Macaca mulatta: one gene and its partners. The protein of the gene in region 2 interacts with the protein of the main gene of each other region in a pairwise test. Links are inferred from orthologs where the notes say so. Each region holds a gene or a part of one and is shown on either strand. Other genes may lie near its edges.

The links.
Region 1: the proteins of NUDT21 (region 2) and MYL6 interact in binary tests that used the Homo sapiens proteins (3 or more experiments, as listed by UniProt). The two-hybrid records come from large-scale screens. The link is inferred for Macaca mulatta from reciprocal best matches to the Homo sapiens genes NUDT21 and MYL6.
Region 3: the proteins of NUDT21 (region 2) and RBM48 interact in a two-hybrid assay, tested with the Homo sapiens proteins (2 studies listed by BioGRID and IntAct). The link is inferred for Macaca mulatta from reciprocal best matches to the Homo sapiens genes NUDT21 and RBM48.

Annotation. Positions count from the first base shown.
Region 1 is NC_133416.1:63,309,387-63,314,225, reverse strand, and holds MYL6 (myosin light polypeptide 6), read right to left. Parts: upstream 3,193-4,839; 5' UTR 3,150-3,192; coding exon 3,147-3,149; intron 2,890-3,146; coding exon 2,862-2,889; intron 1,986-2,861; coding exon 1,842-1,985; intron 1,609-1,841; coding exon 1,435-1,608; intron 1,342-1,434; coding exon 1,264-1,341; intron 969-1,263; coding exon 940-968; 3' UTR 924-939; intron 207-923; coding exon of another isoform or gene 178-206; 3' UTR 58-177; downstream 1-57. UniProt on the Homo sapiens protein: Regulatory light chain of myosin. Does not bind calcium.
Region 2 is NC_133425.1:52,003,638-52,007,979, forward strand, and holds part of NUDT21 (cleavage and polyadenylation specificity factor subunit 5), read right to left. Parts: intron 2,833-4,342; coding exon 2,632-2,832; intron 1,532-2,631; coding exon 1,468-1,531; intron 1-1,467. UniProt on the Homo sapiens protein: Component of the cleavage factor Im (CFIm) complex that functions as an activator of the pre-mRNA 3'-end cleavage and polyadenylation processing required for the maturation of pre-mRNA into functional mRNAs.
Region 3 is NC_133408.1:126,862,581-126,867,580, forward strand, and holds the start of RBM48 (RNA-binding protein 48), read right to left. Parts: upstream 3,064-5,000; 5' UTR 3,034-3,063; coding exon 2,923-3,033; intron 2,370-2,922; coding exon 2,179-2,369; intron 1-2,178. Other genes in the region: peroxisomal ATPase PEX1, read left to right, coding at 3,413-3,541. UniProt on the Homo sapiens protein: As a component of the minor spliceosome, involved in the splicing of U12-type introns in pre-mRNAs.

The DNA of each region.
Region 1 (4,839 bases), on a different chromosome or scaffold from region 2:
GAGAGCAGAACCGAACCGAGGGCCCAGAGAGCAAGTTTATTTGGTGAATGCTGACGGCAAACATCATCCAAGAGACAAGATGGGAAAGGTGCTGAGACAAGAGAGCCTAGGGAAACTTCAGGCTAGATACAAAATTCACACAGGGAAAGGCACGGAGTCGGGAGACTGGGAGGGTCCTCAGCCATTCAGCACCATGCGGACGAGCTCTGTGGAAAGGAAAGGTGGAATGAGCCAGGGAACAGGGCTGTGGAGGGGTACACCAAGGGCCAGGGGACTACAAGACTGCAAAGGTAGCATAAGAGGGAACATGCCCACAGCAACCAACCCTGGGGTCAGTTTGCAGAGGAGCCACCTTGAGTCTGACCAGTTCTCCCTGCCCCTAGCTCCCCTCCCACCAGCTGTTAGTGCCCCTCCCCACCCTGAGCAGCAAGAACACAGCAGAGGCAGAAAAGTTCTCAACTACACCTACAGCTACTGTCAGCCACTGGCGGGAGGAGAGGACAAGAGTTTTGGGTTAGGGTACCTCCAAGCTGCCCAGCGAGGGAAGGGGAAAGGACTGTTCAGCTATAGCAGCAGAATGGGGCAGGCAACCCATACCCCTCTATGCCAGCTACCCATGCTCCAGGGCCAGAAGGTCACCCTAAAGCAAGACTGGTATACAGGCTGGTGAGAGTTCCCAGACACCAGCACCCAGGGCCCTATAAGTAAAACCTCAAGGCCCATTCTAGAAGTAAAGAGGTACCTTACCCCCAGGCTGTATTCCTCTATGAGGAATCCCTCCCCTCCCTAGTCAGCTCCATGCAGAAACATGCCAGGAGGAAGTCAGATGGTAGTAGGGTAAGGGCAGGGGATAAAGAGCACAGGTTGAGGAAAAAAGAAACACTGGGGAGATCAACTAGGGGAGAGGCTGGGAGGAGCCGTACCCGCCCCATGGGCCCGTCACCCCGACAGGATATGCCTCACAAACGCTGCAGGAAGGAAGAGACATTCATGGTGAAGACAAGACACAGACATGGGGTGAGGGGTCAGGCGGTGGGGACAGACATTCCATTATTTCACTTCTCATTCCTTCCCACCCTCTACAATACTACTCCTTCCTTTCCTGTTACACCCCCCTGACCTCCCACTCCTGGGCTGGGCTGGGCAGGGCCCTGCACCTTGCCTCCTGGCTCTTTTTGGAGCCCACGTCCAGGGATAGGGAAAGCCCCAAACACTATACTTGACCTGCCCCATGTGGCTGCGAAAGCGCAGTTCACCCCTTACCTTCATAGTTGATACAACCATTGCTGTCCTCGTGCCCTGCCACCAGCATCTCTACTTCTTCCTCTGTCATCTTCTCACCTGCAGGGGGAAAGAGAGCATCTTTGGAATTGGGAGACAAGTGAGGTATTCAGGGTGGCATCTCAGCTCAAGGACAAGGACACAGAACCTTACCCAGTGTGACAAGAACATGCCGGATTTCAGCACCCATGACAGTGCCATTTCCTTCCTTGTCAAACACCCGAAGTCCTTCGACATAATCCTCATAGGTGCCCTGGTCCTTGTTCTTGGCCACTGTCTGCAGCATGGGCAGAAAGTGCTCAAAGTCCAGCACCTTCACGTTCATCTCTGCCATAAAGGAGGTGGAAGTGTCAGGCCAGAGAAGTAACACAAGTTCTCAGGACGGGGGATAATAGAGACCTCAACTGAACAGAGAGATGACTCCCTCCTAAGCAGGGAAATCCATGGGATTTGCTAATCCAGACTTTTGAGTTTGGGGCCTATGAAGATAAAGGGAAGCTCTTAGCTGAAGAACTGTGGGCCCATGACCACACTGAGTTGTTGTTCTTGAGGCCCCTCACCATCACTCTTGGGGTTCCCCAGGACCTTGAGCACCTCGGCGTTGGTAGGGTTCTGGCCCAGGGCCCTCATCACGTCCCCACACTGGCTGTACAGGATCTTGCCATCACCTGTTCGGTCAAACAGCTGGAAGGCCTCCTTGAACTCTGAGGATTCAGATGAATGTCAACACAGGATTTGAGGGTTAACCCAAACCCTACCTCAGAGCCTGCTGCCCATTCAACTTTGATCATGCTGAGGAAACCAGATATCTGCACCAAACTGTACACCGAAGTGTACTTAAGAGGGATCTATTTATCTTCCTCCCAACTCAGGTGTCCTATATAGAGCCTTCCTCCCCCTCTGGCAGCCTGGTAACATCCATTTACACATCCCCCTCTGCCTGCGGCAGACCTGCCAATCTCCACTGCTGCTACTACACTTCTCAGGGCAGGAATTCGCCACCGCCCAGTCTCAGTCCTGTCCTTATAAGGAAGTGAGAGCAGCAGCCTGGGACCAGGGTCATCCCAACCTGCCACTTTGCACCCCTCCAGTACAAAGAGAACTTCCAGAGGGTAGAGCTACAGTCATATCCTTAGCAAACTCCCCTGTCCTGTCCCCATCTGCACAGAATATCAAGTCACTGCTCTACAGTCTTCACAACTGCAAGCTGGGAGGTCAGGGGCAGTTATCACAGGAGGAGAAAAAAGACAGAAGTAGCTGATTAAGGGACAAAGGAGAGCAGGCAGCTTTATACACCCTCCCCAGACCCCACAAACAGCAGGCATTAGGTGACCAAGTTTTTTCACATACCCACACCACCTAAAACTCACCCAGTGCTTGGGACTCAGATCTAGAGTGGAAGGGGAGGGAGGAAGAAAGTGAGAAAAGAAAATGGAGGATCCAAAAGAAGAGAAAATAATCCAGGGGGTAACCTCATAGGGGTGCTAAAGAGATGACAGATTAAGATTAGAGGATAGGTGCTGGGGGGCGGGTGTCCCTCTCCCTAAGGGTGACCTCGGTAGGGATCAGAGATAACCTACCTGCGGTCTGGTCTTCGGTGAAGTCACACTGCTCAGAGAAGAGGGAAGTGGTCAGCATCTGAACGCCAATCCCCCGAGTTTCTATCCCAGCCCCACAAACTCCTGTTTCAGGCTGCAGACTCGCTTCCCCGCAGGATAGGGCCCCAGGCTTTCCAACCCCACCTCCAACCTTTCGGGTCCTCAGGTTCCCTTTGCCTCCTACCCCTGCCTTCTCCTCGCCCCCCCACCCGTCTCTTCCCACCTCTCGCCCCCAATCCTGCCCATCTCCCAGGACCTGGGCCCCACCATCTTGACTGCTCAGCTCTGCGGGACCTTTTCCTGCAGTAATGGCTCCGACTCTCGGCCCAACCCTAGTCTTAGTACGTCCCAATGACGTCACCCTCAGCGGACTCAGCCAATAGGAACCGTGACCTGGGTTTATGCAGATAATTGCTACATTAGTAATGACGTGGGCGGGGCCCGCTGTTCGTTTCTCCAGCCCTACCTGGGCACAGAACCGCTCGGGGATGGGAGTGGGGGGGGCGTGGGGCACAATTAATCTGCGCCTCCCAACAACAGGAACATTAGAGGACTGGAAGAGGAGAGAGCCTTCTTTTCCCGCCCTCTCCTCCTAGCACCCTCCCCGTCTCCCCTTGCTCCCCCAACCATGAAAAAAATAGTCTGAAACGAAGAGAGGAACCCAGTCTTTATTTTGAAACAATAGGTGGCCTCCTGGTGGCTGGAACGTGCTTCCGCCCGCGGGGCCCAGTGTCCGGACCCCACTGGATCTGTGGAAAAAAACGAAAGTTGCCAAGCGCTGGAGCCCGCGCAGCAACCGGACAGCAGAACGAACTCCGCTGCTTTTCTATGCTGGCTGAGAAGCGCGGGAGACTTGCCTCTTAAGGCGCGGTGAAGGGGTGGGAAGGCCCTACCTGTAGCACTCAGACGCTTAGGATGTGTTTCAAGAAGGCTGCAAAGAGAGGAGGCAAGAGGGGCTTCAGAAGCAGGCCTCTGGATAATACATCTGACTCTAGATAATTCAGGGGTGCCCCCACCCACACGCGGCAAGACGCCGGGCTCCCCTCCTCCCCCGGCCCCGCTCCTGCTTTTTTGGCCCCTCACCCTCGTAGTTGATGCAGCCGTTGCTGTCCTCATGTCCTGCCAGAACAGTCTCCACCTCCTCCTCAGTCATCTTCTCTCCTGAATCCCAGACACAACGTCTGAGTCCCTGCTTTCCCTCCTTCACTCACCCAGGCAATGCTTTTTTCCGAGACGTTGTTTCGCTCCTGTCACCCAGGCTGGAGTGCAGTGGAGCAGTCTCGGCTCACTGCAACCTCCGCCTCCCGTGTTTAAGCGATTCTCCTGCCTCAGCCTCCCGAGTAGCTGGGACTACAGGTTCACCGCTAATTTTTTGTATTTCTGGTAGAGATGAGTTTTCACCATGTTGGGCAGGCTGCTCTCAAACTCTTGACCTCAGGTCATACACTTGCTTCAGCCTCCCAAAGTGCTGGGATTACAGGCATGAGCCACTGCCCCTGGCTTTTTCCATATATTTTTGTAAACAATAATATGAACATAACAATTGTAATTTTTTTTTTTTTTTTTAGATAGGGTCTCCCTCTGTCACCCAGCTGGAATGCAGTGACATCATCATGGCTCACTGCAACTTCCACCTCCTGGGCTCCAGTGATTCACATCAGCTTTCGAAGTAGCTGGGACTACAAGTGTACACCACCACGCCTAGCTAATTTTTTTATTTTTTTGTAGAGACATGGTTTTGCCATGTTGCTCAGGCTGGTCTCAAACTCCTGAGCTCAAATGATCTGCCCACTTCTGCCTCCCAAAATGCTGAGATTACAGGTGTGAGCCACCACGCCTGGCCTTGTAATTTTTTTTTTTTTAAATAGAGAATCTCACTATGTTGCCCAGGCTGGTCTCGAACTCCTGGGCTCAAGTGATCCTCCTGCCTTGGCCTCCTGAAGTGCTAGGATTATAGGAG
Region 2 (4,342 bases):
TCAAGAAAAAAAAAAAAAAAAAGGAAATGTTCATTGCAGCATTTCAAGTTTTGTATATGGGATGCTTAACTGGTAAGCATAATGCAAATATTCCAAAACCTGAAAAAAAATCCCAAATCCTAATCACTTTTTAATTTTTTTGCATATATAGTAGATGTATATATGTATGGGGTACACAAGATGTTTTGATACAGGCATGCAATGCATAATATTCACATCATGGAGAACAGGGTATCCACCCCCTCAAGCATTTATCCTTTGTGTTACAAACAATCCAATTATACTCTTTTAGTTATTTTAAAATTTACAATTAAGTGATTACTGACTATAATCACCCTATTGTGCTATCAAATAGTAGCTAAACACTTCTGGTCCCAAGCTCTCAGACAGGGAATACTCAACCTGTATAAATATACTTCATATATACTTTGAACCAGTCCAGTTTTCAGCCCATGCATGCCCCCACTTTCATAAGTACCTAGCACCTTCAGTTCCTCAGTCATTCTGGTACTCTGCAGTGTTGGATTCTGCCTGCCTGTCTGTTGGACTAAGGTTTCTGCCAAGTTAGTTATAATTTGCCCATCTGTTTTCCAGTTTCCAAAAATTTTGCTTTTGTGAGTCTCTCATTTTGCACTCCCTCAATCCTACTGCACTTACATCTTTGTACCAGACATTACATAAATGGAAGTCCAAGCACAGTAAATGTTTAAGAGTTATAATACATTTTTAGAAATACTAGAAAGACAAACCAATAGGTCAAAAGTAGGAGAATTACAGGTGACTTTAGTTTTGTTTCTCCTTTGCTTTTCTGTGTTTGCCAAGCTTTTTGCACAGAGAATGTATGAGTTTTGTAAAGGGGGCAGGCGGCAACTGCATGTTAAAGAAGAAAACAAACATTGAAAACAACTTACAGTCTCAAAATCCTCAGTATCTATGCATTTGGCCCCAAGTCTTTACATGCAGGCATTACAATGATTTTTTAAAAGTAGAATAATTTGGGCAAAGTCTAAAAAATATGTGAAAAAAGTGAAAACACAGGCGTCTTTCTCTTTTCAAAATTCCATAGAGGCCTACTCTTGAACAAAACTACCTGCATTCAAACCTCTAGCTCTACAACACACTAGCTATATAACAAGAAGTAATTTAAACTTAATAATATCTGCTTCCTAGAGTTGTGGTGGTGATTAAAGGAATTAGCACATGTAAAGCACTTAGAACAGTGTCTAGCACAGTAATACTTAAATGTCAGTTTTTATCATTGCTGTGACACAGTTTAACATTTTAAAAATTGAAGTAAGTGTAAGTTCAACTTGTAAAAAAAATCAACATTGTACTAACATTCTGGGGTTTAAGTTGTATTTATTGAAAACTCAATATTCCAAAATAAACATCCTTTTTACAAGACATTAAAAGCCAAATTAACTATTAAGTTGATGGTATGCAAAGTTAGGTTAAACAGAAAAATACCTCTGTCATTAAGCGTTTTAGTCCTTCAACTTCATCTTCTCCTGGGTTAAGTTCACCACCAGGTCTGTATAAAAGTTAAGAATTTCAGCTTTCAACTTAATGCAATTTGGAGATAACAAAGAACACAATAAATGTTATGTCTATCAAGTCACTAAGTAACATATTTCAGTGTAATAAGGCAATCAAAACAAGTATCAAAGTGAAGGGGGAGAATATGCTTGAATTCATGTCAATTCCCCAGACTAACAGTATACAAACCCTAGGTTTTTTTCCTCTTTGTATATATTTATTTTTATTTTATTGTCGATTCAAGGGGTACATGTACAAGTTTATTACATAGGTATATTGTGTAATGCTAAGGTTTAGGCTTCTAGTGAACCAATCACCAAAACAGTGAACATAACATCTAACAGGAAGTATTTCAACTCTCGCCTCTCCCTCCCGCTCCCCACCTTTGGAGTATACAGTGTTCATTTTTTCCAACTTTATGTCCATATGTACCCATCACATAAACCCTAGTTTTAAACCAACAGAATACATAACATAGCACAAACATAAACAAAATTGCTAACCACCAGTCCATCCCAATCTCGTCTCTGGAAGCTATCTGATGATAATGGAGTCTAGAAATGCCCAGAGAGGAATGGATCATATTCTTTAGGCCTAAACAATGGGACACTTTTTCAAGAGCGCCATCTAAGTATTGGAGACCTTTCTTTTTGGTATAATCTAGTCAAATAGTTGTGGATCAAATGTTTGAGAGATGCAGGAGCTTAAATGACAAAAAAATAAACTGTTATCCACAAAAACCTAAGTCATCTTAAGAATAGGAAATGCAAATCATACCAAGAAAGAAATACCAATTGTTCTTGGTGATGCTACAATGACATCTAGACATTGATCTTGAACTCAACTATTCCACAGGGTTTCTACCAAGCTCAATCACTAACATCGACAACATATAGAAACACGCAGATTACTAGTTAGGAAAATAAACGAGCACCGCAATGGAGAAAAATTACTCGTGATTTTCTCTTTTTAAAGACATCATTAACAGCAGTGTTTGTTGAAATAAATGACCGAGGGCTAAAATTGTAGTCCACAGCTGCATAAACAGCAATCCTACTAAAAACTGTCTTGCTGTTAATTTCCAACACTACTTACAGTTTGAAGAAAGTTGTTCCCAGCTGTAGCAGTAACACATGGGGTAGCCGGTGCTCATGTACAATCAGAACCCCTTCTACAGTCCTCCTCATTCCAATTTTATCAAATTCTTCCCTCATGCGCTGAAATCTGGCTGCCACAGAGCTGTCCTTCTCATAGAGGGGCTCTTTTGTACCAAAAGTATAATTGGTAAGAGGGTACCTGTGATCCAAAGACAAACATCTAACATGAGAACTGAAGAATATAATTTACCATGACAGACATTAGCATAAAGAAACCACAGTACAAAAAAAAAGTGCATATGTTGTACTCAGAGACACAGGATTTGTACAGTTACATAACTAAAGTTAATGAGACAGTAGAGATTGGAATCTTGTTCTCTGGACTCTTAAAGCCAGAGCTTCCGGCCGGGCGCGGTGGCTCAAGCCTGTAATCCCAGCACTTTGGGAGGCCGAGACGGGCGGATCACGAGGTCAGGAGATCGAGACCATCCTGGCTAACACGGTGAAACCCCGTCTCTACTAAAAAAAAAATACAAAAAACTAGCCGGGCGAAGTGGCGGGCGCCTGTAGTCCCAGCTACTTGGGAGGCTGAGACAGGAGAATGGCGTGAACCCGGGAGGCGGAGCTTGCAGTGAGCTGAGATCCCGCCACTGCACTCCAGCCTGGGCGGTGGCTCAAGCCTGTAATCCCAGCACTTTGGGAGGCCGAGGCGGGCGGATCACAAGGTCAGGAGATCGAGACCACAGTGAAACCCCGTCTCTACTAAAAATACAAAAAATTAGCCGGGCGCGGTGGCGGGCGCCTGTAGTCCTAGCTACTCAGGAGGCTGAGGCAGGAGAATGGCGTGAACCCAGGAGGCGGAGCTTGCAGTGAGCCGAGATCGCGCCACTGCACTCCAGCCTGGGCAACAGCGTGAGACTCCGTCTCAAAAAAAAAAAAAAAAAAAAAAGCCAGAGCTTCCATGAGATCAAGCTACTCCTCCATACTTTAACTTTCAAGTGTAGATAACACTATCCTTAAATGCTTAGAGAAATGGTTATCTGAACATTAGTAATCTGGTTTTAGACCATGGCTGCTATTCCAACAAGACCAATTTGGCTAATAATTAATGTCCCCCTGCATTCCTCTGACTACTAATCTAATCAGAAAGTTTTAATTATGGGTGCTAATGGCTAATCTCTTTTTTCTAAAACTAAGCCACCACTTTTCATCAACATCCCTCCAGTTATTTTCTATTTCTCTCAGTCAACTATCCTCAGATTTTTCTTGCACCACAGCCTTTCCTTTTCACAGCAACTCTTCTACTTTCTCTTTCTGTCCTCTAACCCTATTTACTAGCCTTGGGCATTTATTCTATTCAGTCTCCTTATTGTTTCCTTCTCCTCATCTGAATCTTCTACCCACCCCTTTACCAAGAATTTAAAATATGGCTCAAACTGTTAAAGACAGTTTTCATCTTGCCTAATAAGGATCAAATTTTTCTTTAAAGATACTTAAAAATTCCATACTTATATGTCGTACGCCCTTAATTAAAGCCTTACAGCAAGAAGCCTTTGAGTAAGAATTTACGCCACATTTGCCCACCTATAGTATCTATTCTACCAAAAGCCCTTGACATTAATAGTCAACATTATTGCATCTACTACACTCAGCCATTCTTGAAAGGGGGAAAAAATCAAGGTTGCCAAAACTTTAAAAATTACTTTAAG
Region 3 (5,000 bases), on a different chromosome or scaffold from region 2:
TACCATATGCCAGGCAATGTTGTAAGTGCTTCACTTGAATTAACACCTAACAACAACCCTGTAATGAAACAGAAGCACTGGGACATTACATAACTTAGCCATGCTCATACTCTGGTTTGAGGAGCAAGGATTCAAATCCAGATGTCTTACTTCAGAGCCTACTAGACTAGGTACTTTGGAAAACAGAAAAGCTCGAGAAAATATTTCTCTAACCATGACAGCTGGCAGATTGGTTAAGAAAGTGAGATTACATATAACAGCAGCCTGAGAAAACCACACATGACCCAGTAAAATCAAGTGCTTTTGTGGTAGATTATGATTTCTACTGATAGCACATGAAAGAAAATATGAATTGTAACAGCCAGAGAAGGATGGGTCTCAGAGCAGATTAGTGAGGAGAACAGAGATCAACATAAAAATAGATAAGGCATTGCATACTTCAGCCTTTTTGGAGCAGAGGGTTTATGTCACATAGAAGGCCGGAAAACACTGAGTCAATTTGCAGAAAGGAGTAACAGTAGAAACCACAATAGCTAATGCTTACTGTATTCTGACCAGGAGGCACTCTGCTAAACCCTTTATATGGATTATCTCATTTCATCCTCATACAACCTCAAGAAGTAGATAGGTCCCTTTACCATATAGATTTTACGGAACAGGAAAAACTTAAACAGGTTAAATAACTTGTCCAAGATCACAAAGCTAGTAAGCAGTGGAAATGGAAAACTTACTCCAAACCCAACATTTTTTTTTCTTTTGAGACATAGTCTCACTCCATCACCCAAGATGGAGTGCAGTGGTCCATAAATGACTCACTGCAACCTCCACCTCCTGGGCTCAACTGATTCTCCCACCTCAGCCTCCCAAGTAGCTGGGACTACAGGAATGCACTACCACGCCCACCTTGATTTTTGTATTTTTAGCAGAGGTGAGGTTTTGCCATGTTGGCCAGTCGGGTCTCGAACTCCTGGGCTCAAGCTGTCTGCCCACCTTGGCCTTCCATAGTGCTGGGATCAAATTCAACTTTTTTTTCTTTTCTTTTCTTTTTTTCTGGGACAGTCTCACTCTTTCCAGGCTGGAGTGCAATGGCATGATCTTGGCTCACTGCAACCTCTACTTTCTGGGTTCAAGTGATCCTTGTGCCTCAGCCTCCCCAGGAGCTGGGATTAAAGGCTTGCACCAACACAGCTAATTTTTGTATTTAGTAGAGTCAGGGTTTCACCATGTTGGCCAGACTGGTCTTGAACTCCTGACCTCAGGTGATCCGCCTACCTCCACCTCCCAAACTGCTGGGATTACAGGTGTGAGCCACATGCCTGGCGCCAAACCCAAATTTTTTCTGTTTTTTTTTTTTTTTTTTGAGACAGAGCCTCGCTCTGTCATCCAGGCTGGAGTGCAGTGGTGTGATTTCTGCTCACTGCAATCTCCACCTCCCGGGTTCAAGCGATTCCCATGCCTCAGCCACCTGAGTAGCTGGGACTACGGGTCTGCACCACCACACCCAGCTAATTTTTGTATTTTTAGTAGAGCCGGGGTTTCCATCATGTTGGCCAGGCTGGTCTTGAACCCCTGACCTCAAGTGATCTGCCTGCCTCGGTCTCCCAAAGTACTCTGATTACAGGCGTGAGGCGTGAGTTATTGGCGCCCAGCCCTCAAACCCATTTTTTTTTTCTTTGAGGCGGAGATCCCCTCTTGTTGCCCTGGCTGGAGTGCAATGGCGCAATCTCGGCTCACTGCAACCTCTGCCTCCTGGGTTCAAGCAATTCTCCTGCCTCAGCCTCCTGAGTAGCTGGGATTACAGGTATGCGCCACTAGACCCGGCTAATTTTGTATTTTTAGTAGAGACGGGGTTTCACCATGTTGGCCAGGCTGGTCTCAAACTCCTCACCTCGTGATCCGCCTGCCTCGGCCTCCCAGAGTGCTGTGATTGCAGGCGTAAGCCACCGTGCCTGGCCAAACCCAACTTTTACTCTACCACGCTACAGGACATTAAATTGTTAAGCATGGGATGTGATGGATACAGTGTTTCAGTAAAGTTAACCTGTAAAAAGGCTGTAGGAAGATATGCTAGATTACATTTTGGGGTAATTCAGATATGAATGAGGGAAACTTGGGGCCAAAATGACAGAAATATGAATGGAGGAAATGAAACGAGTCATTGCTTAACTTGCACCTTACCTTGCACTTTGTAAGTTCATAAATTTAATAAGATAAACTTCAGTAAAGTCTTCTGCTGGGTATTCATCTAGCGCATTGTACTGTTCAATTGCACCATATAAAGCGAATCGCTCAACTAATTCCTTCATGACTCCCACAGCAGGAACTCCTTGTATTAATAAGTACTGAGATTCCAAATTGATTGTATATACCTGAAAGAAATGCATAGTTATTAAACGTATTTCGCAAATAAGCCTAGGACGAATCTGCCTCTATTTTTTTTTTTAAACAGAACTTTGAAAACAAGAAATAATCTGTTCAACCCAGTCAGCAAAAAACACAAAATAAAATTTCTGCCATTCCCTCTGCATAAAGAGTAACAGTCCATGTGAGAGGCTACCTAAGGCATATAACAGACTACCTTCAGTCGACATTTTTTTCCAGAAATTGAGTCGGCAGAAGTCACTGGGAACAATCACTCAACGAATATTCACTGAGCGCTTACCTGTGCCAAGTAGTACTGTAAACACTGAAGATCCAATGACTAAAACCAAGCCCTATTCTCGTGGAGTTGATGTTCTAATAGTTGACCAAAAGGGTCGTGAGAATCTTTGGTACCTGGCCCAGGGTTCTTCACGCCAGCTCTAATGAGCGACAGATCTGACGGAAGCCTTGTCGTGCCTTTATTTCCGTAGGTTAGCCATATGGCGCTAGCGCTCACAAAAAGCTACCGAGGAGAGCGAATGAAACCAAAAATCACTTTACCTTGACAGCACGAGGCCGTCGTCCCTCCCGATATTTGGCCCGCGTGTCGCACACCGCCCTCTGGACGTGGTGGTCAAATAAACTCCCTAACTCCCCACCGCTGGACGCCATCTTGCCTACTTTGATCCTCGCAGGGAGGACAACATCCGCCCTGCTGACCTCCCTTTTATCCAATAAGAGAGCGGGATGAGTTAAGGAGTGTCAGGATTGGCTGAAGAATCGACAGCGTCGGCCATCGTTTCCTGCGTGCGAGGATTTGATGAACGAGGTGCCGCCCCCGAGCGGCTTGGCGGAGAGGCGCGGTGGGTGACAGAAGCTTTCTTGTCCCACCCCACTACAGGCTTACGGCGAGACGCGCAGCGGGGAGAGGGGGCGGGGCCTCAGGGGGCGGGGCCGATCGATCTCCTCCGGTTCCGACGTCCTCGGCCTGCCAGGTCCCGTGTCCTTTGCGGCGCTAGGGTGGGCAAACCCAGAGCGACGCTTCGGGACGATGTGGGGCAGCGATCGCCTGGCGGGTGCTGGGGGAGGCGGGGCGGCAGTGACTGTGGCCTTCACCAACGCTCGCGACTGCTTCCTCCACCTGCCGCGGGGTCTCGTGGCCCAGCTGCACCTGCTGCAGGTAACGTGCTGGCCCCGGGCCACCTGATCTTCAGCCTGGGGTCGGACAAGGCCGAAGCCTCTCAGGGACGCGGCGGGACACCGGCTGCCACCCGGGCGCCCCCGAAGCGTACAGAGATTAGGGTCCCTCGACGGCAGGGCCCTTCTGGTTAGTCTCTGCATCCCGCAAGTCCAGTGCAGCCCTGGGCTCGTCTTATCCCAGGTCTTTTCACTTGGTGAAACTGGGCCTAGAAATGTCCTAATATTCTACCACTGTTTTTATAAATATTCCTCATTCCAGGCTGGAAAAGTTCCTGATAAGTGGTTTGTTTTTGTTATTTTAAAAGGTGCTTTTCTTGCCAGTCATTTCCAGTTACCTGCGCTGCTGCCGTCCGGGCCGCGAGAGGGAGGCGCAGAGTTGTTGGTGGAGCCCCTGTCGGTCCCCGGGGACTGAGCACCGCGTCCCATGAGCGGGAAAGCTTAATACAGTAATGGTTCTGCCCTGCGTCCCAGACCCTCGGAACACAGCTGTAGTGTGTCAGGAACACATAACGTAGTTAAGATCACTTGAAGCTCTGCGATCAGTCGCCCTTCTGGACGTTGTGGTTGGGATGTTTCGCAGTTCTAACCACCGGTGGAGATACAGCGTCCTTATTTTCGTAATTAAAAATAGAGGCACATGGTCTCACGAGTTTGAGTGTGGTTATGGGGGCAAAAGGACGGCGTATTTGAAATCTTCATAAATCCTGGATGCATGGTACCCACCAGTGGCTAATCTATGTAATGAATAAAGAGTTTGCAATAATTTCAAGCATCCCTTCTTTCCACTTGAGTTACTTCTCCATACCTAGGGGAAGATTTTTTTGGTCCATTGAAAACATGAGTTCAGCAGAATCCTCCTATCATCGTCGTTATTATTTTTTACTACTAAGTAGACAATCTTGGTTTTTGATGGGCTTTATGGTTAGAGACAAATCAGTCACTGTCACCAAGTTCCAGGTAGAAGTTGGTTCAGTGCTCTGTCAGCTTCGATGGGATTTTTCAACATGTTTTCAAATCCACTCATGATAGTAGGAATGCTTTCTTACAGTAACTCTAATTTGATCCTAAGATGTAGTTGTTACCTTACATTCATCACTGTTTAAGAATTTAGTGGTCTTGATCTTTGTTTTAAATTTTGAGCCTTCGAGAAGTATTTATAAGAATTAATTCATGTTACCTTACATTCGTCACTATTTAAGAATTTAGTGGTCTTGATCTTGTTTTAAATTTTGAGCCTTCAAGAAGTACTTATAGGAACTAATTCATGCATATCTTTTTGAAATGTAAATGTCTTTAGCCCTGGAACAAATTGCTGTTTCTGTTCAGCCCATATTAGCAGAATAGGTCAACTTTGCTTTCTAATTATCAATGTAATAAGTTTATGACTTTATAGATTCTATAAATCTATACATTTATTTCTTGATGAATTATATAAATTT